Stegostoma tigrinum: one gene and its partner. Each later gene encodes a partner of the first gene's protein in a complex. Links are inferred from orthologs where the notes say so. Each region holds a gene or a part of one and is shown in the gene's direction. Other genes may lie near its edges.

What was found.
Region 2: nup43 (region 1) and nup37 share a complex: the UniProt entries of both Homo sapiens proteins name them as parts of the nup107-160 subcomplex of the nuclear pore complex. The link is inferred for Stegostoma tigrinum from reciprocal best matches to the Homo sapiens genes NUP43 and NUP37.

The regions. Positions count from the first base shown.
Region 1 is NC_081357.1:93,682,155-93,698,294, forward strand, and holds the start of nup43 (nucleoporin Nup43), read left to right. Parts: upstream 1-8,590; 5' UTR 8,591-8,676; coding exon 8,677-8,787; intron 8,788-13,130; coding exon 13,131-13,253; intron 13,254-15,380; coding exon 15,381-15,458; intron 15,459-15,767; coding exon 15,768-15,930; intron 15,931-16,140. Other genes in the region: E3 ubiquitin-protein ligase SHPRH, read right to left, coding at 221-350, 3,701-4,309. UniProt on the Homo sapiens protein: Component of the Nup107-160 subcomplex of the nuclear pore complex (NPC). The Nup107-160 subcomplex is required for the assembly of a functional NPC.
Region 2 is NC_081371.1:60,073,343-60,089,392, reverse strand, and holds the start of nup37 (nucleoporin Nup37), read left to right. Parts: upstream 1-9,036; 5' UTR 9,037-9,142; coding exon 9,143-9,304; intron 9,305-15,417; coding exon 15,418-15,542; intron 15,543-16,050. Other genes in the region: parpbp (PCNA-interacting partner), read right to left, coding at 2,028-2,177. UniProt on the Homo sapiens protein: Component of the Nup107-160 subcomplex of the nuclear pore complex (NPC). The Nup107-160 subcomplex is required for the assembly of a functional NPC.

The DNA.
Region 1 (16,140 bases):
AATGAGCAAACGAACTGCCAAATAATTTGGCTTTGACAGTTCTCAAATCAGCCTGACTCTATTTTAGGGAATGAATGGGTATCTGGGGTAAGTGGGAATGTGAAGATGAGGCCACAGTCTGATCAGCTATTGCCTTATTGTTTGGTGGAACAGGTCTGAGGGATCAAATGGTCGACTCCTGCTTCTGATTGTATGTTTGTATTCATTTTGGAAATTATACCTGGAACTGTTAAGTCATAAAAATATTCCATGAGTTTCTGCATCAGTGCATTTGTCTTTTTCATCCTGCAGCTTCCTTCACTCAGGAACTCTGGTTTTCCCAAACCAGACTCAAGAAGATATACACCAATCTACAGAGCAAAAAAAAAGTTTGTAAGTCACAATTAAAGTAAACAAATTGACAATAAAATTCAAATATATGTGCCTCGGTTAGTAGCACACTGGTCTCTACGTCACAAAGTTCTAGGGTCAAGTTCCACTCCAGGGCTTGAAAATCCTCTACAAAAACATCATGGCTGAAAGTCCAGCACAGTACAAAGGAAACACTGCAATATCTTTCAAATGAGATAGTAAACTGCACCTTCTCCTCGCTCGGTGGAAAATATCCTATGGCATTATTTTGGAGATGAATAGAGTTATCATCTCCAGTCTCTTGGCCAACATTTATCCTTCAAGTAACATCCCAAAAAAATGAATTCTAGTCATTATTACATCACTGTTTGGGAGTTTACTGTCCGTAGACTGGGTGCCATGTTTCTAATATTACAACAGTGACTACACTGCAAAATGTGCTGGATTGACTGGGAAACACTTTGGGGTGGCTGGTAGCAGTGAACAGCAGAGAAAGCGTGTGAGGAAGCTAAGAAGTAAATTGTAGACCTAGTTGTGACCAGTCAAATAGATGGATTGAGCAGGATTCTGCGTTATGATTGTGCAAATTCTAATATTAAAACAAAGATCGTATTTTACATAGTTCCTTCGGGGATAATATAATTCAGACAAATCGTCATTCCCAAAGAGTGATGAGAATGTCGAACTGGCTACCACAGGAGCAGTTCATAATAGCACACGGGCATTTAAAGGAGTCTAGTTAAGTACATAGAAAGGAGGTCTTCTGACACAATGGATAATATTGTTGCCTTCAAGCCAGAAGTTCCATATTCAGGTCCCACACAGAATTTGGTGGCCAAGGATTCCCTTGCGATAGCCAAACAGGTTCAGATTCAACCAGCAAATCCTTCCAAAACACACTGTGGCAGTTGATAACAGCAGGAAAGATTTCTGGTCAGCCACATGTTGCAAAGAAAATTGAAGCCTCCATCATCACTATCCATAAACTACAGTATCCTTGTAAAAATGCATATTGCCACAGCAAATCAGACTCCAACATCTACCGAACAATAGCACCAGACCAGGTGAGTAGAGGAGAAAGGGGCAGAATGATATGTGAATGGAATTAGAATTAACAAATTTGGGTGAAGGTTCACATAATACATAAGCATCAGCTTCGCTTTCTAGAGGCAGTGTATCAGTTCCAGTTGTAAAACATCGCAAGACATTACACAGGAACATTAATACATGAAGATTTATTATGACAGGTACAGAAAGGCTGAGTCAAAGAGGGAGATTTTGAGGAAAGGTGGATAGGTGGAAAGCCTCAGGGAGGCTGAAGACTGGTGGAACTATGAAAACTGGATATGTACAAGAGGCTAGAATTAGAGAGTGCAGAGAGGTCGGGGAGTTGGAAGAGTTTATAAGAGATAGGCTGTGGCAAGGCAATGGAGAGATTTGAAAACACTAAAAATTTAAAAATGAACGTGGTGCCAAACTGAAAGCTAAATGTAAGTCAGTGAGCAAAGGGATAACAGAGGATTGTAAGTTTGGTGTGAATTAGAGCAAAGGCAGCAAGGTTTTGCTTCAGAATAAATGCATATCAAACCTGGCACGGATAGTTGTATGTGCGGGGCTACACTTTATTGTTAATTAGACACACCACTAATTCTGTACTGTTGATATTAGAAACATTATAAATTGCTCCATCAGTTTCCAGAGATTTCTACGTAATACTTCGTCACTGAATAGGTTTACTCCTTGAAATCCTATTTTCATCAAAGGAGCATAGTTGCTTATTTGCGAGGGCATACTTCCTGCTGTTGGCTGATGCTGTAATTGATGATGGTGACGATGATAGAAGAAACCAATCAGTAGGGGTTCTGTAGAAGTTTTAACATATCTCACTTTTGAATGTTTCAAAAGATGACTGAGGTGGCTCAACGATCTGATTTTACACAAAATTAACAGAGATTAAGAAATCAATACTTTATGAATGACTTAAAATAGTTGGCAGAACCAATATATTCAAAATGTTGCCTATCTAATTGCCTGATACAATAATGAAATTTACATTTTTTCCCAATGCAGTTGGCCATCAGTGGGAATAATGCAATGTAAGTTAACCAGTTTGTACATCCAAAGAGAAACAAGAGTGTCTCTCATCAACATCTGACTTTTGAGCTTTAAATTTGGTTCACCATCATTTTCTGTATTAATTTTTTGTTTGGATGTGTAAAGATTATATTTTGTTTTGGAATACAGGTAAGAGTAAATGGAAGTTCACACACCACTTTGCTAAAGACAATGTAAAAGGTGTGTTTCTCAGGGTTGTTTGTTTGCAACTTGAAGACCCAAATTAGAATTATGTGGTGTTCGTTTATTAATTACAGAAGGTCATGTAACCTTTGGAGGAGCTAGGTTTGATATTTTTGAGAAACAAGCTAGCACAGGTGCCTTTAGTTTAAAAAGCAATGCACTAACAGCTTTTGGATTTTTTAAGTTGCAGCCAGTCATGGACTTGAAAATGACAGCTGCACTCAGGCCTCTAGAAAGCCTGCAAGCAAATACAGGTCTCTCCCTTTCTCACCCTGTGCAAGGAAAAAGAAACACTTGAAGATTTGGAAAAGAAAAGCTCCCAACTCAAGCAAAGACCTAAGTTCAACTGACCTGCAAATGAATTACGGACCTCTTATCATTCTGTGGTAAACAACAGCATTATATCACTGCCAAAAATCAAAGTAACTGTCAAAGTGTCACTTCATTCCACTTGTGATCTGGATTCTTGACACAGATAAGTAGTTCCTTTTTGTCTATGTTTTCTGTGGACGATACTTCTGCTTTGACTTTCCTAGTTATGACTGGATGTGTGTGAGCTTGGGTTTAAAGTGGTTATAGTTTAAGTTTGCACAGAATTAAGTAATAAAAAAAATTTGCTTTCTTGTTTATTGATGTAATCCAGCGCCAGTTCTTTTAATTTAGGTAACAGTCAAAGTAGACAATGAACCATTTTAGTAACTAAACGGGGCACATATATAGCTTGTGGAGTAGTGAGGTTTGACTATCAGTAACTTTTCTTATCAGGATCATGACAGATGCTTTTTCAAGATGAGGACATTGAGCAAAACAGACGTCACTGAGGGGAAAAAAAGATTGTCCTCCTACCATTTCAAAAATTCCTGCCACAGTCTTTAGTGGTGCTCGCTGAGTGATGGTACCTGAAAATCGCAAACAGGAAGGGGAGGTTGTGTGTGTGTGTGTGTGTGTGTGTGTGTGTGTGTGTGGGGGGGGGGGGGGGGTAAAGATTTAACCAATTAGGTAGAAGACTATTGATCAAGACAAAGAACATTTTATTCAAACAGTTAAATACCTTCAGTGTTTGACAGTCTTCAATTGTGTTTTGGAACAATCCAATTACATTCTTTTTCTGAAGCCATGTTAGGTCCTCCAGCATCTTAAAAGTGAGTGAAGTTCTTACACAGCTTATGAATTCTTCGTTGTCATCCCTTTCAGAATCATCACATTTCCTCTTGATTGAGACTTGCAGCTGATCATCAGCACTGGTCTTCATCAAGCCTATGCTGAGAAACCACAGTTCCTCTGGAAATGCTTGCCGTGTTGCAAGTTGGACTGTAAACCTGTGCAGCAGTGCTCGCCACTCTTCACCCAAGTGGCCAGGGGAGACAGAAAGACTGATCTGGGTGGTGGTACTTAATGGCAAAAGATGACTTTCTCCATCCTCGACCTGAGTCACAGCTGAGATATTAAATGGCTCATCCTGTTTCAAACTGCTAGGCTGGAGAAGGGTTGTCTCTCTGTATCCTGGGAGACCTGAGCTCAAGGCTAAGGGATTATTACAGTCATTTGATCGATCAAGTGCATGGAGATCCTTCAAGTCATCACACATATTCCAGCTCAGCTTTTTTTTTGTTTCTTCGTCTACTCGCACCGGGGCTGCACGCTTCCTTCTGTTGCTCATTGTACCAGCTTAGTGCAAGTTCACAGCTGCAAACAAAAAAGTATAAAAATATGAAATTCTCCTAGTAAAAAAGGATGAATGAAGCATTTATTGCTCTGAACAGTCAGTTAGGAATGCAACACAAGACGAGGACGTTCATTTTGTTATTGAGCTATTCAACTAAATCAGCATGGATTTGTATCTCAATCCAACCTTGATTCTGTAACCCTTAAAATCCCCACTCATTTATCATTCTCAATTTTGAAATTTTCTACTGAAAACTGCTTTTATATTGGGGATGATAGAGGAGAGATGTCCAGATTTTCACCACTCTTCATGTGAAGAAGTGATTCCTGATTTCACTGTGATCTCCTAAGGTTTCTCTGGTCCTCCCCATTACTAATCTATTGCCTTTCAGATAATAATCTGTCTTCCTGTTTTTGACCTCACATTTATTCACCTGCCATGTATTTGTCATTTTTTTTACTGCCAAATGTGCATATTTAGATTGTATCTTACATTTAACAATTTAGTTCAGTCGTAGCCTTTTGTAAAACTTAATTAATTCACAAACATTTAGTTGGAAATGGTTTAAAGCTAAGCAAATGGAAAATATATATGTATATCGTGGAAACAAACAAATGAGAAACAGAGTACATTATGACTGTCAGAAAAAGCAACTGGTCCAGATCAATCATAACATTTATATAAAAGACACAAATTAACGAAGCATCACAGCTCATGCATTTCTTCCAAAAATAAATCAAAACATTGAGCAAATTATATGAAATATAAATTAGAGAAACAGGTTATTTGGCCCAACCAGTCTTTGACAATTTTTGTGCTTCACATAAGCCCCACCCCCCAGCCACCTTCACATAACCCAATCAGTAGATCCTTCTATTTCTTTCAGTCCTCTGTGCTCATCGTACTCCCTCCAGAATGGATTCATGTTACACTTTTGACTTGGTCAATTAGTGAAGTTGGTTGATCTGTATCTTAATTCCATCCATTGACCTTGGTCAATAATCCTTCATAACCATGACTATCAAAAATCTTTGAATTTCAGATTTATAGCCATTGATTGAACTAACATGTATTGTTATGGTATGGTCCACCACCCTATGCATGAATAAATGTTTCCTAATTTCAGGTCTGAATTGACTGTATCTAATTTTATGACCACATCCTCTCATCCTACCACTCAAAACATTTCCTCTCTATCCTAGCAATTGCTTTCTAAACCCTAAAACCCTCAGTCAAATCACTCATAACCTTCTATGTTCAAGATAGTACAAGACCAACTTAAGTAATCCTCCTCGATAATGTAGTCCTTGAAGCCAAGGTATTATTCTGGTGAATATTCTGCATTGCACACCTTTCTAGGCCACTGAAGGTGTGCTGTCGAGAACTGTATGCGGTACTTATATGTGATCTAGATCAGGGCTTTGCATAGCTGTAGCAAAATCACCTTTGTATTCCAGCTCTGATAATTTATTGTTCCTGATGATGACATTTTAACTATCTTTATATATGGACCCCACATCACTTTCAACTTCCATTGTTCCTAGCTTTTCACTATTAAAATAATACTCAGTGATCCTGTTGTGGGTAGTCTCATATCTTACCTCATTAGGGGAGATAATGGTATAGTTTATCGTGGCTGCATTAATAATTCAGAGACAATGCAAATGTTCTATGTATTCGGTGCCAAATCCCACTACAGCAGATGACGGAATTTGAATTAAATCAAAAAATCTGCAATTACAAGTCTAACAATGTGCAAGTCAGTTGGATTGGCTATGCTAAATTTTCCAGAAGATTCCACAACCAACGATCAGATCTCAGCTGTCCGTTCCTGACACATTCAGTCATGAATGGTGGTGGACAATTAAACATCTCACCGGAGGAAGCAGCTCCACAAATTTCCTTATCTTCCATAATACCAGACTTCAGCACGCTAGTGCAAAAGATAAGGCTGAAGTATCTGCATCAATCTTCAGCCAGAGATGCTGACTGGATGATCCATCTTCAGCTCCTCCAAAGGTTACCACTGTAACAAATGTCAGTCTTCAGCTAAGTAGATTCACTTCATAGGACATCAAGAAACAGCTGGAGGTACTGCAAAGGCTATGGGCCGTGACAACATTTCGGCAGCAGTACTGAAGATTTGTGCTCCAGAGCTGGCTGCGCCTGTTGCCAAGCTGTTTCAGTACAGCTACAACACTGGCATCTACCTGACTGTGCAGAAAATTGAACAAGTGTGTTGCACAATTCATCATTCTGCTGATTCAAATTCTCTCTTCCTTTAAAAACTAAACATTGAACCAATCAGTCCAAATGAACAACATGGATAAGACACCAAGGAGGATTTAGTACTCAAAATAAACATTTGAATCAAAAACCATTTTAATCCCAAGTATTTTAGAGATTAAACAATCATAAGTTTAAACTTTCTCTATCTTATCATGTTAAATAGTTCTTAGTAAGTTATGTAACAATAACACCTTCATTAGTTCCAACATATCTAAATTGAAACAGATTTGTTCTCCAACATATTAGAAATTAGTTGGAAAAAAAATCAAAGAAACTCATACGTCCTGTTAGATGGCAGGAAGAGGTACAGTCTATCAACTGCCCTGAGAGAATTACATTGATGAATATGAGAAAACCATGGTCACTAAATGTATTCATCAATTTTCTTCTGTTAAAAGTTAAAGCCGCAGAAGAGAAAGCATTATGTTAAATTCAAGCCAGGGATCCGGCTTCGATTTCAGCCTCGGGCGACTGTCTGGGCGGAGTTTGCACATTCTCCCAGTGTCTGCGTGGGTTTCCTCCGGGTGCTCCGGTTTCCTCCCACAGTCCAAAGATCTGCAGGCTAGGTGGATTGGCCATGCTAAATTGCCTGTAGCGTTCAGGGGTATGTGGGTTATAGGGGGATGGGTCTGGGTGGGATGCTGCAAGGGGCGGTGTGGACTTGTTGGGCGAAGGGCCTGTTTCCACACTGTAGGGAATCTCATCTAAACAAGTGCAAGATTTTTGGAAGCAATTTTTTCTAAAGGAAAACAAAAATCACCATTTTAGATTAGAAACATTGGCCGGATAATTATTTCTGAAGCACACATGGGAGCTGCACACAGTGACCCTGCAGACACACCAACACATTCTGGTCAGATTTTCTGAGGAGCAGAAGTACACATAATTTGCCACTCTGCGCCTTCTTTTTAAACAGAACAAAAAAGCTCTGTATTCCTGACAGGAGACTCTGACCATGGCTCCTTCATTAACGTGGTGTTGTACTTTTACTCTGGCAGGTCCATATCTTGCAGGCTGTGGGGTGAAAGTAAACTGTGACTCCTTTTTCATAGCATCAGCAATCATCACAGACAGCCACTTTTAAAAAGCTCCGGAGAGACGGTAAGTACATAAGTGTGAGGTTAGGGTGCCTCCTCCAGTGCCACAATGATGCCAACCAAAGGTTGCAGGAACAGCCACCTCATATTTCGCTTGGGAAACCTGCAGCCCAATGGTATCAATGTGGACTTCACAAGCTTCAAAATCTCCCCTCGCCTGACCGCATCCCAACAACAGCCCAGCTCGTCTCCGCCTCCCTCACCTGTCTGTCCTTTCTCCCACCTACCGACTCCTCCCACCTTAACCCACACCCCCACCTCCACCTCCTAGACCTGTCCGTCTTCCCTTGACTGACCAATCCCCACCGTAACTCCCCAGCTACACTCACCTTTACCGGCTCCACCCCCCACCTCCTTGACCCGTCCGACATAACAAGGTGTAGAGCTGGATGCACACAGCAGGCCAAGCAGCATCAAAGGAGCTGGAAAGCTGACGTTTCGGGCCTAGATCCATATTCAGAAATGAAGGCCTAGGCCCGAATGGGGGTATATCGGTCTAGGCCCGAAACGTCAGCTTTCCTGCTCCTCTGATGCTGCTTGGCCTGCTGTATTCATCCAGCTCTACACCCTGTTGTCTCAATGTTTCACAAGATACGCGATCAGGGACAGACAATCAGCTTTTCCGGGTGATACTGACTGACGAATGAATACCAGGCCGGGGCGAATCGCCCTGTTCTTTGCGCAAATAGAACGGTAGGGTTTTATATGAAAGGGCAGACAGTGCCCTCAGTTTGAGACATCCGCTCCCTGATACCAATCGTGGATTTTATAATCACTCTAACGCTGATAATCGATGCTACTCACAGTTAAACCCCAGAGCCTGAAGTTTCCAAATAAATAATAAACGGTTCAGAAACAATAAACAGGGCCGGAAGAGCTGGACGGCTGACCCCCGGATGTTGATGATATTTTCCAGGAAGTTGTCTGTGTTAACTCGGAAGTTGCCGGCCCGCGGTCGTGGCTTTCCCCGTTGACATGGAGGCTCGCTATGTTTCACAGAAGATCAGCCGGGTCCGCTGGCTCCCGGTATCCGGCTCCAGTCTGCAGCTTCCTGAATGCTTCGCCACCGGATCCTGGGATGCTGAGGTGAGCAGAGCAGCAGCCGAGGGAAGGACAAATACGTTAGCATGGTCATCCGGGAGAGAAGGAGAGGGGAACAGAATTGGACCGAGGGCGGTGGGTGTAGGGACCCCCCAAGAGAAAAGACAGAAGTCCGCCGGCAGCAGTCAACCTGGATAAAAGGCATGCGGCATCCTCTTCTTTATAAATACACGAAATGTTTTTAAAAAGATCAAAAGAATGGAAACCAAGCTAGTTTTAAAAGAGAGGAGAAAGCTGTGGTTCGCAGCAATTAATTAGACTGGCAAAAAAAAATCGAAGTGGTGCTCCCCATCCTGGGATATCAATATTGCAAATAGTTTGAAGTAGGAGTTGAAAATACTGTACACTTTAAAATCCTGCACGTGACACCAAACTTGGCAGTGGAGAAGTGAGGGTAAATGACAAAATACAGAACTTCAATAAGAATACTAATATAAGCTGCAAGTGAAGTACAGTCGTGGACAATTACTTGCTAACAAGTATGCTGATCAACCAAGGACATTCTGTGGTCATTAATCATGTGTTCTGTGGGTATTTGCGTGGCTGAGCCCGATTCTCGACCAACATTTCTGACCACATATTTGCTAGGTGTTTACTGAAGGTGGAAGTGGTCCTTGGCCTTCTGATCATTGGCATTTCTCAGGTTCCTTTTCCATACCCCCTTTTTCTGATGGGTGTTCTCAAAGAATTGTGACTCTTCATAGAATTAGTGTGGATATAGGCCATCTGGCCCAACAAGTCCACAGCCACTCTCCAAAGAGCATCCCATCCAGTCCCATCCCCCTCCCTTTTCCTGTAACCCTGCATTTCCCATGACTAATCCACCTAATTGACACACTTGTGGACACTCTGGGTAATTAAGCACAGCCAATCCACCTTACCTGCACATCTTACACTGTGGCAGGAAGCCTAAACATACGCAGACACAGGGAGAGTGTGCAAACTCCATATAGGCAGTCACGTGAGGGTGGAATCAAACCTGGCACTGTGAGGCAACAGTGCTAACCACAGAGCCACCATGCCATCCACAGGCTTTCGACAGGAGTTTCCATCAAGTCAGTTTCTTCTGAATGAGGGTTTCCTATGTGTTCACATCTATCTTGCCATTCTTGATGTAAGCTTTCAGGAGACTTTAAAACACATCCTATGTCCTCCTTTTGCTCGAGTGCCTCCTTTGAGCTGGGTGAAGATTTGTTTTGACAGTCAGAACTCAAACATCCTAAGCATACGGCCAGCCCACCAGAATTGATTCTGGATGAAGCCTTGAAGCTGTTGTATTATACGTTTCAAGGAATGCTAATGTTAGTACACCTACCATCCTGAATCATAAGGAGAATCCATCTCAAACAATGTGGATGGTACTTCTCAAGGATCTTAAGGTGGCATTTATGTATAATCCAAGTTTCAGAGCTATGTAGAAGAGTCTGAAGAATGATTACCTTATACACAAGGATTTTGGCATCAGCACGGATGTTACAAACATTGAATACTCTCATCATTAGTTGTCCAAAAGCAGCACTCGTAGATTGAATGTGATGTTGCATCTCTGCATTGGTATCAGCCATTGATGAGAGGTAGCTTCACAAATAAAGGAAATGTTTAGTAGTTTGGAGGATTTCTTCATTAATCTTCATAGAGGGATGGACTGAACTTGACCAAGGAGAGCTTGGTAAAACTTTGAGCCTTCAAGGTTGAAACTAATTCTTCAGGTACTTCCTTGAAGACATTAAGCATGGTTTGAAGATTCTGTTCTGAGATAGTGGAGATGACATTGCCATTTGTATACTAATATTCAATAAGTAATATCCATGTCATTTTCTTCTTGGATTTCAACTGATTAAGGTTGAAGAGTTTTCCATCCATCTTGGAGACAATGTTCACATTAATAGGAAGTTTGTTCTTGAAGAAACTGAAGAATTCTGGTGATGAAGATGGAGAAAAGGGCAGTGGTGATGATATATCCCTGCTTGACCCCTGAGATGACCTCAAAAGATTCTGTCATATTCCTGACGGAGGCTCATCACTACTATCTTATGCTAGAGATGGAGGATGTTGATGAATTTCACTGGACAGTCAGCCTTTGCAAGGGTCTTCCATAACACTTCCCAACTGACTGAGTCAAAAGTCTTGATCAGATTGATGAAATCCACGTAGAGTGGTTGGTGGTTTCTTGGAGTTCCGAGCAGTGAAAATCATGATGACAGTTCCACACTTCTGTCAGAAAACGCACTGCTTTCCAGAACAGTTTCCTCTGAGTCTGGGAGAAGGCAGTTAATAAGGATTCAGGTGATGATCTTCCTGGTGATGGAATGAGGGGAGATTTCTCAGTAGTTCCCAAGACCATTTTGTCTCCTTTCTTGAGGACAGTGGCGATGGCAGCATCCCTGAAATTGGCAGGGATCTCTTCTTTGTCCAGATTTTCAGAAACAGTTGATGGAGATGACAGGTAAGCTTTGCTCCTCCAACTTTGAAAATCTCCACTAGAATCCCATCTATTCCTGTTTCTTCACCTTCATCTGTTTCTAGTGTCATTTGATGGACATTGGGGAGGGGAGGAGTCAGTGGTCTGTCCATCAATTGTCTGCACTAGGTCATCACTTTGGTAATCTTTTTGGTCTCTGGGCTGAGCAATGACATAATTAATTATGTGCCAGTGCATTGATTATGGATGCCTCCAAGAATTCTTGAATTTATCTTTTCGGAGCAAGAAATGTATTGGTGATGTACATTTGCTGAGTGTGAATCCTTTCAGAGTTGCAATACCCGACTCCTTGTCCAGAGTTGTGTGTCTTTTCTGACTTGAGCATTCAAGTCCCCATGAGCAATAATTTTATCTTCCTCAGAGATGTTGATGACAAGGGTAGAATAGAAACCTTCTTTGGACTCATCTATAGCATCAAGGGTTGGAGCAGTGGCACTCGTGACCATTGTCTGCTGGTTCTTGGCAAATTGTAGATGCAGAGATATGATCATTGTTGCCAACAGGAAGCAAAAATAATCAGTTGATGATTTATTCTCGATTGCATGTGACATGGGTTGATCCTCAGAGTTTTCCTCTCCAAAGGAAGGGGTACCTCATCCTCCTTTGCTCAGCTCCCTTCAGGACTTCTGCAGAGCAGTGATATTAATGTTAAATTGCCAGAGTTTACAGCAATAGGGGAAGTTCTTTGTTGTAGATAATTGTTTCATTTGTTATCCATGAAGGTTCGTATATTCCAGGTTCTTCATGGTTTGATTTACAAACTGTGAGTAGATGAGCAGATGCAGATGAAGAAGTATTTTTCACCTGTGGTGGATTCCAAAACGAGAAGCCACTAATGTAAAATTGTCACTATTAAATCCAACAGTGTGTTCTAGGAAACATATTTACCCAGAGATATGTCTGAATGAAATTTACTATAGCAAGGAATGGTTGAGGTCACTAATGTAGATGCATTTAAGGATAGTTAAGGATAATCTCTTGAGAAAGAAAGGAATAGAAAGGTTGTGAGATTGGATGAAGAAGCATAGGAGGAGAATCATGTGAATCAAGCGGAGGCATCCAAGTGTTAGTCCGAATACTACCTTTCTGTTCTCTCCATACAATATAAATCATTGGACTGTCGTGTCGCAATCTGGATGCTGTACCTTAGGGAATGAATGAAGAGCTTGGAGTGGATACAGAGGAGATTTTCTAGACTGGTATCAAGGTTGAGAACCTTCATGTATGTAGAGAATTCACAGGAACTGGGATGTTCTTAGAGCAAAATGGATGACAGGGAGATTGAGTAGAGTTGTTCAAAATTATGCAACATTCTGATAAAGTACATAAGAGAAAGTGTTTCCAGTTATAGCATAGCTGGTAAATTGAGGACATGGTTTAAGATTTTTATCAAAGAAACAGAATGATAATGAGAGTTTGATTTTATGCAGGGCAGCATGTTCTGAAATGCACTGCCTGAAAAGTTGTGGCATAGATTTAACTTAGTAGTAACTTACCAAAGACAATTGAATTGATATTGAGAAAGGCAAAGTGTGCAAGGCTATGAGGAAAGAGCAGGAAGAGTGGGACCAGCTGGACAACACTTTCAAAGAACCAGCATTGTTATGATGGGCTGATTGGTGTCTTCCTCAGAATAAGATTCCATAATTCGTTATTTTGTTCTAATACATTCATCTCTTGCCTCACACTTGAAGTTTATTGAAATTTTTTATCGTTTCTACAGTTCAGTTCCACATTGCCAGTCCAGATTAAGCAGCTTGGCCCAAAATTGTTGAGGGTTGTTATTGACACAGGTCTTGTTTTTGTAATCTCTAAAGTGCAGGTTCTTGCTCTTTCTCCCATGCAGCAGAACAAAGTGTGCCTATGGGAAACAATTGATATTGAAAGCATTGATACAGATCAACTGTTCTTGGAGGACTCTAAGCCTTTGTGTTCAATCACCCACCAAGGTGACGTTATGGATCTACAGGTAACTGAAGTTTTGGCGTGGCTTTAAAAAGACTGCACAGCTCACCTCACTCATATTCCTTCTCCCACCCCCAAACAGATTCCATTTTAAATACTGCTACAATAATCTATTTGTAATTGGTATTTTTTTCTAAGTCACATGGTATATCCTGTGTGAAACTTTCTTTGAAGAAATTGTGTAGGTTTCGAGATGAATGTTCACACCTTTTGGACCACGAGTAAGTTCAAGCTGGCCCAGAACTATTAGCTTTAGTTTATTCTCAGAATCATAAAAATCCACAATACACAAGGAGGTCATTTGACCCATTATGTCTGTCCTGACTCTTCAAAGGAGAAATTGTGCTTCACCCAACATCACTGCATGTTTCCCTGTCATCTCAATAAGTTCCTCGTCGTCTGATCCCTGAACAACACCCTTTTGAAATTATTCATGAATCAGTGTCCACTGTGTTTTCAAGAAAATCCTTACAATTGAGTCCAAAACATTTCTCCTCATTGCCTCTCTAGATATCCGATTTTGAATTACACACCCGAGTTATTCGCCTACTCACTGGAGACATTTTTCTCTGCTTTGTCAAAATCTCTCATTGGTTTTATAAAAACACTTCCTTGGCCACCTAAACTTAGATGATACAAGTATAACAGTCTCAGTCTTTCCTCACAACCGAATTCCCCTGTTCTCTGCAACATTCTGGGAAAGCTTCATTGTACCAACCAGTGCTTCCACCCACCTTCCTTCCATCTCCCCACTCCAAATAAATCCTAGTAATGGAGTCTCTAAACACTTGACATAGTGGTTGCATAAAGACTTGTTTGCTTATGTTAAATATGACATAGGCAAATAATTTTGATTGTGAATAGTGATGTAGCTCTGCAAAGAGTTAAGTGTTGCCATAATTTCAGACCAAGCTACTGCACCCTCCATATCCACCAGAACAAGCTCTGCCCACAGCATTCAGCACAACTCTTGTGGGCACATCAGACCTGGACCTAGATAGTTTTTTGAAGCTGAATTCTTGGTGTAGGCCAGAAGGTCATCTCGAAAAACAATGAAGAGTCGTCCACACAATGTGAACTTTACGTGTGGCGAGGTTAGTGCGTTTAATTTTATGAAGAGCACTGGAGGATTAGCTGATAGCAAAGATGCCCAAATGACTGTCACCTACCTCCATACAGACGCTTCCAAATCTGTTGAATTGAATTTCAGATTCTAGTTAAATTAATAACTAACTTTCCTTTCTTAAAAGTCCAGAAAACTGTTCTTTATCATCATTCGTTTTTGTTTGATCCGCACAACAAGCTCTGTGATAAATCTGGGCCAGGACATTGCTGAAATTAAATTGCCAAAATGCAATACATGTAGAACAACTCTTTGAATTCCAGCAGTTAAAATTCATAAGGGTTGCTACAAGCAGTGAAACAGCAAGGCCAGGTGGAGACTAATGCTGCTTCAAATCCCACCACAAAAGGTAGGAGAATGTAAATTGAGTTAATTAATAAATTCTATTAATTAATAAATCTGGAGCTGAAACCTAATCTGAGTGATGCTATCCATGAAACTCTTAGCCATTGTCAGAAAAATCAGTAAGAAATCTGTTATCCTTATTCATCTGGCGTGTGTGTGACTCCAGACACGGCAATGTTATTGACTCTGAACTGCACTCTGAAATGGCTGTGCTACCCATTCAGTCGTATCAAACCACTGCAGAAAAGTCAAACCAGATTGACAGCAGATGTTAAAGAAGATGAATCATTTTGTCTTGGGATGGGCAACAACAACTGGCCTTTTCTACAAACACCGACATTCCATGAAAGACTATTTTTAAAATGTAGATTCACTGTTACAAATCAGAGGTATTTAAACTGTAGATACACTTGACCAGACATAAGGAATGCTCAATGTCTACAGAGTTTCAAAACACAGGATCTAACGATTACATGGGGTACATCTTAGATTATATATGTATGTTACATTTGTGTCTACATACAACTGCTGTCTACTGCACACTTTCTAGTTTTCTGTTGTAACATTTTTCTCTCATTATTTTCAATTTTCTTCCTTCATAAGTTCCTCCAAGTCCTAAATCAACTAGCAATAAGATTAATTATGACTTGCATTCTTTTATAGTTTCTGGATCAGGAAAAGATTATTACCGCTTCTTCTACAGGAAGTGTCATCTTATTCCGTTATGATCAAAAGGAACAGGTACAGAAATCATGTATAGAAATTTTTCATTAGTACTCAAAATGATTGCAAATTTAATGCAGTCAGAAAGTTTGTTCAATGTTCTCCTGTTCTACATCATTAAATGTCATGATATTGATTTTACCATGTTTTGTAGAATATAATCAATTGCTGAAATGAAAAAAAAGCCCATCCTTTACAGTTTCAAAATGGATGTAATTTATTCTTCAAAATGATGCATATTGGGTCTACTAGACCCTGTGGCTGGTGTCATTGGTGTAATTCATGCACTTACATTTTGTGTGTTTTCTGCACCATTCTCTGCCATAGAAACTCTCAATCCTCCAGGAATGGGAACGTGCCCACTACTATTCCCATGGCACTGCTCCCTGTACCAGTCTGGTCTGTAATGGTCCTGAGATCATCTCTGTCGGGGAGGATGGTCGGATTAACCATTTCAAAGCTGACCAAAAGGAACCTGTGCAGACTATAGGTTTGTATAAAGGAAATTTTTAAAAAATTTACACTCTTGATAAAGAGACCTTGAGTTTATATAATACCCTTCAGGAACTTCAAATGACCCAAAACACTGTACAGACCGTAAAATACTTTTGAAGTGTTGCTGTTACATTTTTGGAAGGATGTGGCGCTCAGATGTGTGTAGGTTGGCTGCTAAACAGCAACAAGATGAAGTTTCTCCCAC
Region 2 (16,050 bases), on another chromosome or scaffold:
CTTCATAAATTTTATGTTTCTGTAAGATCCTGTCATTCTAAGTTCCAGTGAATATAGTCTGACTCTACTCAATCTGTCCTCATAAGACAGCCCACTCAACTCTGGGATCAACTAATGAACTTCCTCTACACCCTTTTCACTGCTAGTACATCCTCCTCTTGAGAAACCAGAACTATATAGTACCCCAGGTGTGGCCTCACCAACACCCTATATAGTTGCAGCATAATGTCCTTTTTTAAAAACTTAATTCCTCTAGCAATGAAGGACAACATTCCATTTGTTTTCTTAATTACTGCTGCACCTGCAAGCAAACTTGTGATTTATACACAAGGATGTTGAGGTGCATCTGCACAGCAGCATATTGCAATTTTACTATTTAATAGTCCATTTTGCCATTATTCCCACCAAAAATGGATGACTTCACATTTACTACCATTGTACTCTAGACACTACCCACTCAACCTATATCTTCTGCAGACTTGCAGTGTCCCATGCATACTTTGCTCAACCACTCATCTTATTGTCACTGTAAACTTTGACAATTGGTCCCCAACCTTAAATCAATGTAAATTTTAAACAATTACAGTCCCAACACTGATCCCTGAGGCACACCACTAGTCACTAATTGCCAACCAGAAAATTTCTCTACTTTGCTTTCCAGTGTCTTGATAGCATCTGACGGATGTTATTGTCACACCATTGGTGTAGATCATCATGTCATTAACATTTATTCTCAAGTACAGATCTGCAAATGACCATTTTGTCTTCATGTCTTTGTCAGCTCTTTAAAGAGTTATCAAAATTGCCTCACTGCCCACATCTACCTCCATAGTTATGAAATACTTTGACATACAGCCAATTCCCCTTTGGAACCCACATTTCTGGAGGTTCAGCTCTGGTACCATCCTGATCACTTCAACAGTTCCCCTATGTCTGGATGCCCTTTTAAATTGTTATCATCCAGATTGTAATGCAAGTAGATTCAAAGGTATCTTCCAAAATGCATCCATTAGTATCAATAAAGATACTAATTATACTAAAGTTAAAAGTAGGAGACAGCAGCCCACACCCCATATTGAACTGATGTCTTAGGTTGACTCATTATCTACTTCTCTCAACAATTCATTCAACATATTCCCTATGCCAAGTTTAAGCTATTTCACCATGCTAAGTGCAACAGTTTCAATGCAAGTCACTCATCCACCACCTCAACACGAGTCTCTGCCAATCTCAAACAATCAATCATTCATGGAATATAGAAGGGTGACTACATTGATATTTTAGGACTTTAAAGAGGAGTTGATTAGAAATCAGGAATTTTTGTCTACTGCTTGGAGAGTCTGAGACTCTGCTTTCAAATCTGACCGTGGGAAATTTAGAATCACAGAACTATTATGGCAGAGAGGCCATTTGACCCCTTGTGACTGCATCAGCTCTATTATATAGAGCCAATTTCCTGCCCTGTCTCCAAATCCATGCACACCATTTTACCCAAAAAGCCATTCAAAGTCCTCTTGAATGATTCAATTGAATTGCTGCCACCACATTTCTAGGCAGTGCATTCCAGTCTAGTCCATAACTATTTGCTGCGTGAAAATGCTTTTTCTTCACATCACTAAATCTATGCCCTCTTGTTCTGGTTGCTTTTACTCCATCCAGCATTCCCATGCTAGGATATGCATCAAAATTTCACCAGCAGCTCTTGTTATTTGAATCCATATGCTCAGCAATGTTATTCCAGGCCTTTGGAATAAGAGTCCAGTGACATGACCACCATGCCACTGAATAGGAGATACATCTTTGCTGTGGTAGAAGTGTGGAACTCTTATCAAAAGTAAGATGTACCCAGTTGAATCAATACTTCTGAATCAGAGTGGGACACTGTTTCAGGCCATGATTCCAAAAAGGCTATAAAGACCAGGTGGATAGGTGGCATTCCAGACCCAGATCAAGCAAAGCCTCATTGATGGAGGGGGTTGAATGGCCTCCTCTATTCTCATTCTAGTCTACTGATGATGTCAACTCACCTCTTTATTCATTTCAGCCATAGCAAGCTGCAAAACCATAAGCATATTATCAGCACCACAGACAGTAGTTCTTTCATGCTCCAGAAGCTGGCACCATCCTTTCCGGAATCTCCTTATCAACTGTAATACTTTCTGTTGGAGGGAATCCATGTCTCTGAGTGAACAAACACCATGATAATTATACAAGCATTTATGGACACTGAATTAAAAATAAGCTCCAGAACATCTTAAACTCTCATGATTTGGGGGAATTGCTCACCAGATCAGTACTTATTATCCATCCCTACCTTCCCCAGAGGCAGTTCTGAGTCAGCCACATGTAGGCCAGGCTGGGTAAGGATTGGACATTGGCTTTTCCAAAGCCAATTAAATGTAGATGTTTTACCAAAAGTCAGTAGTGGGTTTTGTGGTCAGAGTCGTGACAGGCATATCACAGGAGTTTGTTGGAGGAGTATTTTACTCAGAACATTTAGTTCTTACTGTACAAATTCTTTAACAAGAGACTTTAGAACAACCAATGAAAAGAGCCAGAATCTGCGCTTAACTAGTGGGAAAGCCGCACATGACTTATTAGACATGGGCAAAAAGGAAACAATAACTGCATTAAAATGCTACATAAGTGTAAGCTGAAGATATTAAGTAACTGATGCACACAAGATCAGTTAAATTCTCCTTTTCTTCAGCATAAAGTAAAAAACACTATTACACAACACTAGCTTAACTCCAGTTGCATTGGTCACAGTCGATTAGTCTGAAGCCACAGACATAATAGGAATTAATGCAACCCTTGCAGAAAGTTCAAGTTAAATTCCAGCCTTGTAATACTGTACATTGCTGGCAGACATCCCATGGTGTCAAACCTAGTTGGATAGTAAACCAACAAAATGCAAACAGGGAAAGAGTTCTGCAAAGCAAGTGTGACATTTGCCAGAAGTTAATTCTAATAAAAACTTGATCATATGGAATGAGACTACAGCATAGAGGGAGGAGACTATTGAGCATCATGCATTGCCTGGCAATTTTGAAAGGGCAATCCACTAAGTCTTACACTGCTAGTTGTCCTTTTGGTTTGTGCATCCCTTCAGAACATTTGTTGAATCTGTAGTGCATAGGATATCAAGCTAGAAACCAAGATGTCACAATTCATGATCCAGAGATGAGATGAGAGTTCAGATTCCAACACAGCCAAATAATACTGCCAATTTAATTAATTCAATGTGGGGTGTGGGCTACTGTCCTACTACTTTTAATTAGTATCTTTATTGATAAAAGGATGCATTTTTAAAATGCTATTCTCATTGACTAATAGATTTCTAGACTCCCATCTGAGTCACTAATGTTCTTAGAGAAGGAAGCCTGGTATCCTTAATCCAACCTATGTGACTCCAGACCAAAAGCAATGCGATTGACTATTTGTGCACTCTGAAATGATTGCAGTCCAAAGTGAATTTATGACCACTCGAATACTCTGATGGCCAGATCCTGCAAACGAACAGTGTTTTAGTTAATCTCTGCTATCCAGCATGGTCAATTATAGGACAATTCCATCCTCTTCTCAGTCAGCTTTCATCAAATCATCCTGTCAATGCCATATTAAGTGAACAAAGGGACAAAAGACATTGAAGTTAAAGAACTGAGCCAAGTTTGGCACTAGGAACCTATTTTCCTACCAGAGAGTCAGCTCATAAATGCTGCAGCATTTATATAACACTAGAGATCACAGCAAAACATTCCTGGCGACCCTCCTTGAACCACAGCAGTCAGTCAATGTCATTATAGCACTGGATGTGAGTTTGCTCACTGAGCTGGAAGGCTAGTTTTCAGATGTTTTGTCACCATTCTAGGTAACAGTGAGCCTCCAATGAAGCACTGGTGTTATGTCCCACTATTTATCTGTTTAGGTTTCCTTGGGTTGGTGATGTCATTTCCTGTTTTATCCCCAAGAGGATGGTAGATTGGCTCCAAATCAATGTGTTTGTTGATGGAGCTCTGGTTGGAATGTCATGCTTCTAGGAATTCTCGTGCATGTCTGTTTGGCTTGTCCTAGGATGGATGTGTTGTCCCATTTTTCCATCACCACCCTTGTCCGCTTTCTGGAGGGACCAAGAAAATGGGACTACACATCCATCCTAGGACAAGCCAAACAGACACATGAGAATTCCTAGAAGGATGGCATTCCAACCAGAACTCCATCAACAAACACATTGGCTCCAAGTCAATCTACCATCCTCTTGGGATAAAACAGGAAATGACATCACCAACCCAAGGAAACCTAAACAGATAAATAGAAAGTGGGACATAACACCAGCACTGATGTCACCATTCTGGGTAACAAAACATCTGAAAACTTACCTTCCAGCTCAGTGAGCAAACTCACATCCAGAGCCTCAACCAGAGTTACAAATCTTAACATTATGGCACTTCCAGAGAAGTTTAGGAAATTACCTCTAGGATCCTGCATGGGAATGTCACTGAACCTTGTAGAATATAGAGAGGTCTGAATAGAGTAGACATTTCCAAGAGTAGAGACTAGGACCTCAGGGACAGTTTCAGAGCAAAGGGCCAACCCTTTAGAACTGAGATGAGGAGGAGTTCCTTCAGCCTGGAGGTAGCAACTCATGAAACTCATTCCCGCAGAAGACTGGAGGCCAAATTATCAGGTGCCTTTAAGCCAAGATCTTGATTAGTAAGGTGGTCAATGGTTACAGGGAGAAGGCAGGAGATTGGGACTGAGAAACACAAGTTAGGATCAAAGGCAGAGCAGATGCAATGGACTGAATGGCCTAATTCTGCAACTATATCTTATTGTCACTATGCAGTATGAGACCAGTTTAAAGCATGTCCAAGGGAAATGGCATATGATTTGGCAGAGTTTGGATAAATGGGAAACTATAAAGGCCAGTGCTACTTCAATCCATCCCTTGGAGTGATTAAAGGACAGCAGAATGCCTGGCCAGATGTCTAGTCCCAGTCTCCACCCTTTTGCATTTTATTAAAAAAAATTAAATCTAACCATTTCCATATACACCATTCCTGGAGACATTTTATCAATTTTGTAATTTGGTCACTAAAGTGACTTATCCACAAAATAGAGCAGGATTGAAGTAGATTCAATAGCTTTCAAAAAAGTTTAGATTATATACCAGCACCAACCCACAGTAGCAAATCAACAAGGCCCTGCTACACTCTCCAAAACTCATGACCTCAACTATTTAGAACATCAGCAACAGATGCTTGGGGAAACCCTTGCCTGTAAATCAGAATTTTACATCATGGGATTGTCTTCCAGCCAGTCATCAGGCATCTAATCCCTTGTGTTCTACTTCAAACTACATGCCACCTTCTATTATCACCCTCCATTCTGCATGGCTGGGTCAAAATTCTAGATATCCACAGCATGCGTAACCACAGCTCTAAGGCAGCATCTCAGTGCTTGAAGTAGTTCTGAAGGGCTGGCCCAGCCACTGACTAGTCATTTTCAGTGACTGGGAGCAGGAAGAGTGGCACTAAATTGATAAACAGAGAGCTTGTACTAAGCTAAAAGTATCAGTGCCCTCTTTTGAGCAGCACAGCTGCTAACTGTGCCAGGGTCCCAGGTTCAATTCTAGCCTCAGGTGACTCTCTGTATGGAGTTTGTACATTGTCCCTGTGTCTGTGCAGGTTTCCTCCCATAGCCCAAAAGGTAGTGAATGAAACCTTTGAAGAGCAGGCGTGCATGCTGGAATGGATAGAGATAGACGAAGCTGATGTGCTGAAAATTTTGTCAAACATTAAGATTGACAAGTCGCTAGGCCCGGATCAGATTTCTCCTCGGCTGCTTTGGGAAGCGAGAAATGCAATTGCTTCGCCACTTGCGAAGATCTTTGCATCCTCGCTCTCCACGGGAGTCGTACCTGAGGACTGGAGAGAGGCAAATGTAATTCCTCTCTTCAAGAAAGGAAATAGGGAAATCCCCGGCAATTATAGACCGGTAAGTCTCACGTCTGTCGTCTGCAAGGTGTTAGAAAGGATTCTGAGGGATAAGACTTATGACCATCTGGAAGAGCATGGCTTGATCAAGTACAGTCAACACGGCTTTGAGAGGGGTAGGTCATGCCTTACAGTTTTTGGAGGATGTGACTAGAAAAGTTGATGAGGGTCAAGCTGTGGATGTGGTGTATATGGACTTCAGTAAGGCATTTGATAAGGTTCCCCATGGTAGGCTCATTCAGAAGGTCAGGAGGAATGGGATACAGGGGAACTTAGCTGCCTGGATACAGAATTGGCTGGCCAACAGAAGACAGCGAGTGATAGTAGAAGGAAAATATTCTGCCTGGAAGTCAGTGGTGAGTGGAGTTCCACAGGGCTCTGTCCTTGGGCCTCTACTGTTTGTAATTTTTATTACTGACTTGGACGAGGGGATTGAAGGATGGGTCAGCAAGTTTGCAGACGACAAAGGTCGGAGGTGTCATTGACAGTGTAGAGGGCGGTTGTAGGCTGCAGCGGGACATTGACAGGATGCAGAGATGGGCTGAGAGGTGGCAGATGGAGTTCAACCTGGATAAATGCGAGGTGATGCATTTTGGAAGGTCGAATTTGAAAGCTGAGTACAGGATTAAGGATAGGATTCTTGGCAGCGTGGAGGAACAGAGGGATCTTGGTGTGCAGATACATAGATCCCTTAAAATGGCCACCCAAGTGGACAGGGTTGTTAAGAAAGCATATGGTGTTTTGGCTTTCATTAACAGGGGGATTGAGTTTAAGAGTCGTGAGATCTTGTTGCAGCTCTATAAAACTTTGGTTAGACCGCACTTGGAATACTGCGTCCAGTTCTGGGTACCCTATTATAGGAAAGATGTGGATGCTTTGGAGAGGGTTCAGAGGAGGTTTACCAGGATGCTGCCTGGACTGGAGGGCTTATCTTATGAAGAGGGGTTGACTGAGCTTGGTCTCTTTTCATTGGAGAAGAGGAGGAGGAGAGGGGACCTAATTGAGGTATACAAGATAATGAGAGGCATAGATAGAGTTGATAGCCAGAGACTATTTCCCAGGGCAGAAATGGCTAGCACGAAGGGTCATAGTTTTAAGCTGGTTGGTGGAAAGTATAGAGGGGATGTCAGAGGCAGGTTCTTTACGCAGAGAGTTGAGAGAGCATGGAATGCGTTGCCAGCAGTTGTGGAAGCAAGGTCATTGGGGTCATTTAAGAGACTGCTGGACATGTATATGGTCACAGAAATTTGAGAGTGCATACATGAGGATCACTGGTCAGCACAACATTGTGGGCTGAAGGGCCTGTTCTGTGCTGTACTGTTCTATGTATACAGTTGGGGTAATTTGGCATGGCCAATCCACCTAAGTGTCCAGGGTTGTGTAAGGAGATATATCATACATAAGAGGCCATGTCACTAGCTTGGGGGGGTGGGGGGGGGGGGGGGGAGAAAACAAATCAGGTGGACTCAAAGCTTACACAGTTTCAGGCTGTAGGAACACAGCAAGTCAAGCAGAGGAGCAAGAAAGTCAACTTCTTGGGTCAGGGTCCTCCATCAGGTTCCTAGATGGATTTGGAGTTCAGAACTTAATGGCAACCAATAACTAAAGGGTCAGCAACAGTTTTTCTCCCCACCCCCAATTAAAACCCACCCAAGACTGAATTTATTCCATTAAAACTTCTCCAGGTTATTACAAACAGCCTGAGAAAGTAACCATATAACCTCAGACAGTACATTCTAAATCCACAACCACTTCCACCCAGAAGGGCAAGGGCATCAGATACATGGGCCTGGGTCAAATGCTGACAAACAGGACTAGGTTTAGGATATTTGGACAGAATGTACAAGTTGGACTGATGGGTCTATTTCTATTTTATATAAATTTGACTATGACTCAGGGCAGCATGGTGGCTCAGAGGTTAGCACTGCTGCCTCAGAGCACCAAGGGCCTAGTTCAATTCCACTCTCAGGCAGTGTGTTGAGTTGACACATTTTTCCCCCCCATGTTTGCATGGGTTTCCATGCACTCCAGTTTCCTCCCACTATCCAAAGTGTTGCAGGCTAGGTGGATTGGCCACACTAAATAGCACATATAGTGTTCAGGGATGTGGGTTATAGGAAGAATGAGTGGGATGCTGAGAGTGTGGGTGGGGATTTGTTGGGCCAAAAGGGCCTGTTTGCACACTGAACAAAGTTTCTATATGAACACCACCACTAAGTCACTCACCAGCCTGACTTGGAAATATCATTGTTCCTTCTTTGTCACTAGGTCAAAAATGCTGGAATGCCCTCCCAGAGGGTCAACCCCCTGTTGTATTCAATGCTTTGACTAAAAGGCAAGCATAGAAGTGTGGTTGACTCTTAACTCTTAAATGCCCCCAGCAGTTCAAGAAGGCAAAAATCACCCCCACCTTCTCAAAGGGCAACTAGGGATGGGCAAGAAATGCTGGCCAGCAGTGCCCACATTCCACAAGTGAATAGAAAAAACCTTCATGTTATGCACTAACCAATACCTTTCCCGCGAGACACAAAAAAAAACACCCGTCAGTATCAGTAGTGTTTAAAAATACTTCATTCAGCATATATAGGCAGACAAGTTCTCGGTTCAATACACTGGAATTCTCGTAATAAGGAGGCAAACGCGAGCATTTTGCTATTGTCTCCAGCTCAATAGCATGGTTCAGGCAATTTGAGGCTCGCCGTTGAAAGCGAGCGACTCCTCAGTTCTTGTACTCACCAACTGTCACTTGCGCAGACCAGCTCCCAATCTCCAACGACAGTGCCCAAGCTCTCACTGGCTCTGTCTCACTCACCAACCAGCCCTGCCTGAAGTCAGCACTAACACAACGCCTCACTCTACATCCCTCTCTTCCCAACTTAAGGGTAAAGATAGATCCCACACGGACTTTTCACCCACACCCAACTCCAGGCCAATTTAAAAGTCCCGGGCCGGAGCAGCTGTAACCAATCAGAGCGTTGCCGTTACAATGTTGCACTTTCCTCCCGGAAGCGAAGCGGAGGCAGCCAATCAGCGACGAGGGGTTGTGTCTGAACGTTCCATTGAGGGTTTTCCTGGCGAGTCTGAGCTTTCCATCGGGGATTCCCTCCAATCTCCCCGGGTTCCGGGACTGGAAAGCGGAGACGACGATGATGGTGAACGAGGCGGCATCGCGGGGCGCCACGCACACGGTGCCAACCGACGAGACAGTGCACGTGGTGGAGTTTAACCCTTTCGAGGACTGCGGCACTGGCAGCCTGGTCGCCTACGGAGGCGACAACTACATCGTGGTGGGGAGCTGCCGCTTTCAGGTGGGCTGTCCTGGCAGGTTCTTTTCTGGGAACGTGTGACTGTTTTGGGGACAGGGAGGTGGTGAGGAAGGGATAAGGAAGAGAAGTAGGTCGGAACCCATCTAGTGCCACAGAAACAAAGCTGCACTGAAACATCTCTTTGAGGTATGCTCATCTTGAAGAAGATCTGCTCCTCTCTCCCACAGGATTTCCATTCTAATCTTTTTTCTTGTTTAGCTGTTGATTTTTCGAGGCCGACCTGTATTCATTTGTCTGCCCAAGTATGTTTTTTTCTCTCTGCCTGGGTTCCCTCTCCACGTATCGTTTACTTCTACCCCCACCCTATCTTCAGCATTTTTATAAACCTTTTCCTAGCTTAAAATCAATTCTGAAGATGGGCCAGTGAACGAGAAACGTTAATTCTGCGTTCTCCACAGATGCTGCCAGATCTGCTGAGTGTTTTTTCCCCCTCCATCAGTTTCTGATTTCCAGCATCCACAGTTCTTTGGGGTTTTTACCTTCAACTGAGTTTTGTGATGCTGTATGCAGAGCAAGGGCCACCGAACAACAATTGAGCTGATCAAAACATAGCGTGGGTGCAGTACTCCCTAGGCACCTTACAAGCAATGAATGGGTTTATTTTCATTTCCGGGATTTTCTGGATTTATTGGTCCTCCCTGGAACTGGGTGGCTTACAGAGGGCAGTTAAGAGCCAACCACATTTCTATGCTTGCCTTTATTAGTCAAAGCATTGAATACAACAACAGGGAGATTATGATGGTGCTGTACGTAAGATCAGGCCACAGCTGGAGTACTGTGTGCACCACCTTATAGGAAAGATGTGCTTGCACTAGAGAGGGTGTAGAGGGTATTCACCAAGATTTGCCTGGGCTGGAAGGATTCAGCTATAAAATCAGGCTGAACAAAAACAAAGTTGCTGGAAAAGCTCACCGGGTCTGGCAGCATCTGTGGAGGAGAAAACGTTTTGGGTCCGATGATCCTTCCTGAGAACTGATGGTGGCTGGGAAAATGTCAGTTTATTTGCAGAAAATGGGGAGGTAGGTGGGGTAGGGAGTAACCGATAAGATAGACCCCAAAGAGAGAGGAAGACAGTTGGACAGACAAAGGAGTTGCTGACGATCAGGCTGGGTGGGTGAATAGTTGCTAATGGGGATTGTTAGTGACTAACAACAGGGGGTGTGTAATGGCAGGCTATGTGGTAACAAGGCCTGGTGTGTGGGGTGGGGGGGTTGGGACATGGGGGAGTTTAGGCCCTAAAATTATTCAATCAATATTGAGTCTGGAGAGCTGTAGGGTCCCCAAGCAGAAAATGAGGTGTTGTTCCTCCAGCATGAGCTGGGCTTCACTGAAACACTGTAGCAAGCCGGAGACAGAGATGTTGGCCAGAGAGCAGGATGGTGCATTGAAGTGGCAGGCAACTTCAGGGTCTTTTTTGCGAGCAGAACATAGATGTTCTACAAAGCGGTCGCCAAGTCTGCGCTTCATTTCCCCACACTGGGGAGAGGAGACCACATTGTGAGCAGTGAGTGCAGTAGACTCGATTCTTGGAAGTGCAGGTGAAGTGTTACTTCACCCAAAAGGTATGTTTGGGCCCTTGGATACTGGGGAGGGAGGAGGTAAACGGGTAAGTGTTGCACCTTCGCTGGTGACAGGGGAAGGTGCCTTGGAAGTGTGGAGAGGTGTTGGGGGTGAAGGACGTGTGAATCAGGGTGTCCCAAGAGGGAATGGTCCCTGCAGAAGGCGGTCAAGGGAGGGGAGGGGAGGGGAATATGCTTCTGGTGGTGGCACCTGGCTGGAGGTGGCAGAAATGGCATCTGATGATCTTCTGGATGTGGATGCTGGTGGGATGGTAGGTGAGGATAAGGGGAACCCTATCGCTGTTGCGAGGGGGAACAGAAGGGGTGAGGACAGAAGTGCGGAGATAGGTCAGACTCGACTGAGGGCCCTGTCGACAATGGAGCTGGGGAATCCTCGGTCCTCTAGAAATCAGTTCCTCCATCTCCGTCGCATATGTTCAGATGAGGTGAACTTTCACAAGGGAGCCTCAGTTCTTCCGTCTCTGTCGCATATGTTCAGATGAGGCGCACTTTCACAAGGGAGCCTCTGAAATGTCCACATTCTTCCTCGCCCGAGGATTCCCCAGCTCCGTTGTCGACAGGGCCCTCAATTGGGTCTCACCCATCTCCCGCACTTCCGCCTCACCCCTTCTGTTCCCTCCCGCAACAGCGATAGGGTTCCCCAAATCCTCACTGATCACCCCACCAGCATCCACATCCAGATCATCAGACGCCATTTCTGCCACCTCCAAACACATATTCCCCTCCCCTCCCTTGTCAGCCTTCCGCAGGGACCATTCCCTCTGGGATTCCCTCATTCACACTAGCTTCACTCCCAACACCTCCCCACACTGCCACGGCACCTTCCCCTGTAACTGGCCAAGGTTCAACACCTGCATATTAACCTCCTCCCTCCCCAGTATCCAGGGGCCCAAACATACCTTCCAGGTGATGCAACACTTCACCTGCACTTCCCAGAATCTAGTCTACTGCACTGGCTGCTCACAATGTGGTCTCCTCTACATTGGGGAAACAAAGTGTAGACTTGGCGACCGCTTTGCAGAACATCTAGAACCTGCCTGCAAAAAAGACCCTGAACTACCTGATGCCTGCCAGTTCAATGCACCATCCTGCTCCCTGGTCTATGTCTCCGTCTCTGCTTGCTACATTGTTCTAGTGAAGCCCAGTGCAAGCTGGAGGAACAACACCTCATTTTCCGCTTGGGGACCCTACAGTCCTCTGGGCTCGATATTGAGTTGAATAATTTTAGGGCCTAAACTCTCCCATGTCCCAGCCCTCACCCACACACCAGGCCTTGTTACCACATAGCCTGCCATTACACACCCCCTGTTGTTAATCACTAACAGTGCCCATTTACAACTATTCACCCTCCCAGCCTGATTGTTAGCAACTTCTTGTCTGTCCCACTGTCTTTCTATCTCTTTGGGCTCTATCATATCGTTTACTCCCTACCCCACCCACCTCCCTATTTTTTGCATATAAACTGACATTTTCCCAGCCACTATCAATTCTGAGGAAGGATCACTGGACCCGAAATGTTAACTCTGTTTTCTTCTCCACTTGTGTTGCCAGACCCGCTGAGCTTTTTCAGCAACTTTATTTTTGTTCCTGATTTACAGCATCCGCAGTTCTTTTGGTTTTTGTTTTGGATAGGCTGAAGTTGTTTTCCTTAGAGCAGAGAAGGCTGGGGGTAACCTGATTGAGGTTACTTAAGGAGGCTTAGACAGGGTAGATAAGTGGAAATAGTTCCCTTTAATAGAAGCATCAATTACCAGGGCTCACAGTTTTAAGACAGGGAGGAGAATACTGAGATACAGGCTATTAGACTAGATGGCATTGAGGTTCACAAGGAGGAGGTGTTAGCAATTCTGGAATGTGTGAAAATAGATAAGTCCGCTGGGCTGGATGGGATGTATCCTAGGATTCTATGGGAAGCTAGGGAGGAGGTTGCAGAGCCCTTGGCTTTGATCTTGATGTTGTCATTACCTTCAGGAATAGTGCCAGAAGACTGGAGGATAGCAAATGTTGGCCCCTTGTTCAAGAAGGGAAGGAGGGACAATCCTGGTAATTACAGACCAGTGAGCCTTACTTCGGTTGTGGGTAAAGTGTTGGAGAGGATTATAAGAGATAAGATTTATAATCATCTAGAAAAGAATAATTTGATTAGGGATAGTCAACACAGTTTTGTGAAGGGTAGGTAATGCCTCACAAACCTTATTGAGTTCTTTGAGAAGGTGACCAAACAGGTGGATGAGGGTAAAGCGGTTGATGTGGTGTATATGGATTTTATTAAAGCATTTGATAAGGTTCCCCACGGTAGACTATTGCATAAAATACGGAGGCATGGGATTGAGTGTGATTTAGTGGTTTGGATCAAAAATTGGCTTGTTGGAAGAAGACGGAGGGTGATGGTTGATGGGAAATGTTCATCCTGGAGTTCAGTTACTAGTGGTGTACTGCAAGGATCTGTTTTGGGGCCACTGCTGTTTGTCATTTTTATAAATGACCTGGATGAGGACGTAGAAGAATGGATTAGTAAATTTGCAGATGACACTAAAGTCAGTGGAGTTGTGGATAGTGTAGAAGGATGTTGCAGGTTACAGAGGGACATAGATAAGCTGCAGAGATGGGCTGAGAGGTAGCAAATGGAGTTTAATGCAGACAAGTGTGAGGTGATTCACTCTGGAAGGAGTAACAGGACTACGGGGTACTGGGCTAATGGTAAGATTCTTGGTAGCGTGGATGAGCAGAGAGATCTCGGTGTCTATGTACATAGATCCCTGAAAGTTGCCACCCAGGTTGATAGGGTTGTTAAGAAGGCGTGCGGTGTGTTGGATTTTATTGATAGCGGGATTGAGTTTTGGAGCCGTGAGGTCATGTTGCAGCTGTACAAAACTCTGGTGCAGCCGCACTTGGAGTATTGCATACAGTTCTGGTCACCGCATTATAGGAAGGATGTGGAAGCATTGGAAAGGGTGCAGAGGAGATTTACCAGGATGTTGCCTGGTATGGAGGGAAGGTGTTATGAGGAAAGGCTGACAGACTTGAGGCTGATTTCGTTAGAGAGAAGAAGGTTAAGAGGTGACTTAACAGAGACATACAAGATGATCAGAGGATTAGATAGGGTGGACAGTGAAAACCTTTTTCCTTGGATGGTGATGGCTAGCACAAGGGGACTTAGCTTTAAGTTGAGGGGTGATAGATATTGGACAGATGTCAGAGGTAGGTTCTTTACTCAGAGAGTAGTAAGGGTGTGGAATGCCCTGCCTGCAACAGTAGTAGACTCACCAAGTTTAAGGGCATTTAAATGGTCATTGGATAAACATACGGATGATAATGGAATAGTGTAGGTTAGATGGGCTTCAGCTTCGTTTCACAGGTCAGCACAACATCGAGGGCCGAAGGCCCTACATATGTTCTATGTAGGGAGCAGGAGGTTTAGAAAGAGATGTGGAAGAAGATTTCAGGAGATCATTTTGACCCACAGGGAGATGGATGCTGTGAACTCACTACCTAAAAGGCTGGTGGAGATGGGAGCCCTCAAGGCATTTAAAAAGTATCTAGATGAGCACTTGAAACACCATAGCATACAAGCTAAACTATTGGAAAATTGAATTAGAATAGATGGTCGTTTGGTGACTGGAACAGACACAATGGGTTGAAAGGTCTTTTTGACTGTATGGATACAGAGTCACACGGTGTCCAAGCCAGGCCAGTGCTGCAGACCTCCTTCCCTAAAGGACAGAAACGACATTACTATGATGCCACTGTCTCCCTTTTTTTGATATCTATGGCTATATTTGTGAAATAAGAACTGTAAGAGCCAATTTGCGCATATGATGATCCTGCGAACCATACTGAGGCAGTAATTGCATAGTTTGTATTTGTTCACTATAAATTGTATTGCTTGAGAAAGTAATGTGCCCATCAGGGAAATCTCCTAGCTCACTTCTTCAAAATAATAGTTTGGGATCTTTCATTGCCAAGAAGGCAGACATTAGTAGCGAGAGGGTTATCAATGTCTACTCATGACTTCAAGGGAAATCGGAATAGTACAAGAGAAAGCTGTGAAGATAAATAATCAGTCTTGACCTCACTGAACAGTGGAGTAGGCTTAATGGGCTGAATATTTCAAAGTTGTTACTGGATTAGTAACCTAGGGGCTGAGGTTCGTGCTCTGGGGACACAGGTTCAAATCCTGCCACAGTAGTCGTGGAAATTAAGTTCTGTTAATAAAATCTGGGTTGTAAACTAATCTCAGTATTGGTGACCATGTAACTATTGTCTAATATGGTAAAACTCCATTTGATTCACGCATGTCCTTGAGGGAGGGAAATCTATGGTCCTTACCTGATCTGGCCTACATGTGACTTCAGGCCCACAGCGATATGGTCAACTCTTAGCTGTCCTTGAAATGGCCCAGTTCAAGGGTAACATCTGAACCCAATACCTTTTGACTAATAGGCTAGGACACTCTCAACTCGGGACTGTATCAGCTTGTGAGTATTATGAATATTCCATTCTAATCTTTTTTAGGAAGAAGATGCGGAAATTAAAGGTATGGAATTCAAGACACTTCAGACATTTCATCGAGGAATACGGGTGGATTCTATTGCGTGGAGCCCAGAAACTAAGATGGACACACTGACACAACTGATCCAGTAGGAGATACTGTTACTTTCTGATTCATTTTAGCAATTTGGTGTTGCTGGCAAGGCTGGCATTGTTTGTCTTTGAGAAGGTGGTGGTGGATCTGTCACTTTTTGACCTGATTCAGTGTGTGCGGTGATTCTTTGCAGCAGTTTCAACACAACTAAGTGGCTGTCCGGGCCACTGCAGAGGCTAGTCCAGAGCCAGCTATCTTGTTGTGGATCTGGAATAGGTCCACACCGGGGAAAAATAGAAGATTTAATTACCTAAAGGCCCTGATAGGTTTTTATGACAATCCAACATTGTGTCAAGGTTACTTTTCCCAGTACCAACATCTTACTTTGTAGATTTTGGTTAAACTAAATTAGAATTGCAAAGGTGGGATTTCAATTCTTAAGGCTATTACCTCTGACCTTGTGGATGACAAGTCTCTGGAATGTAAACACTACCTCACTGATAGATAGAAGTATCATACTATTTATTAATAACACCGTGGAGGCCAGGCAACATTAGCGGAGC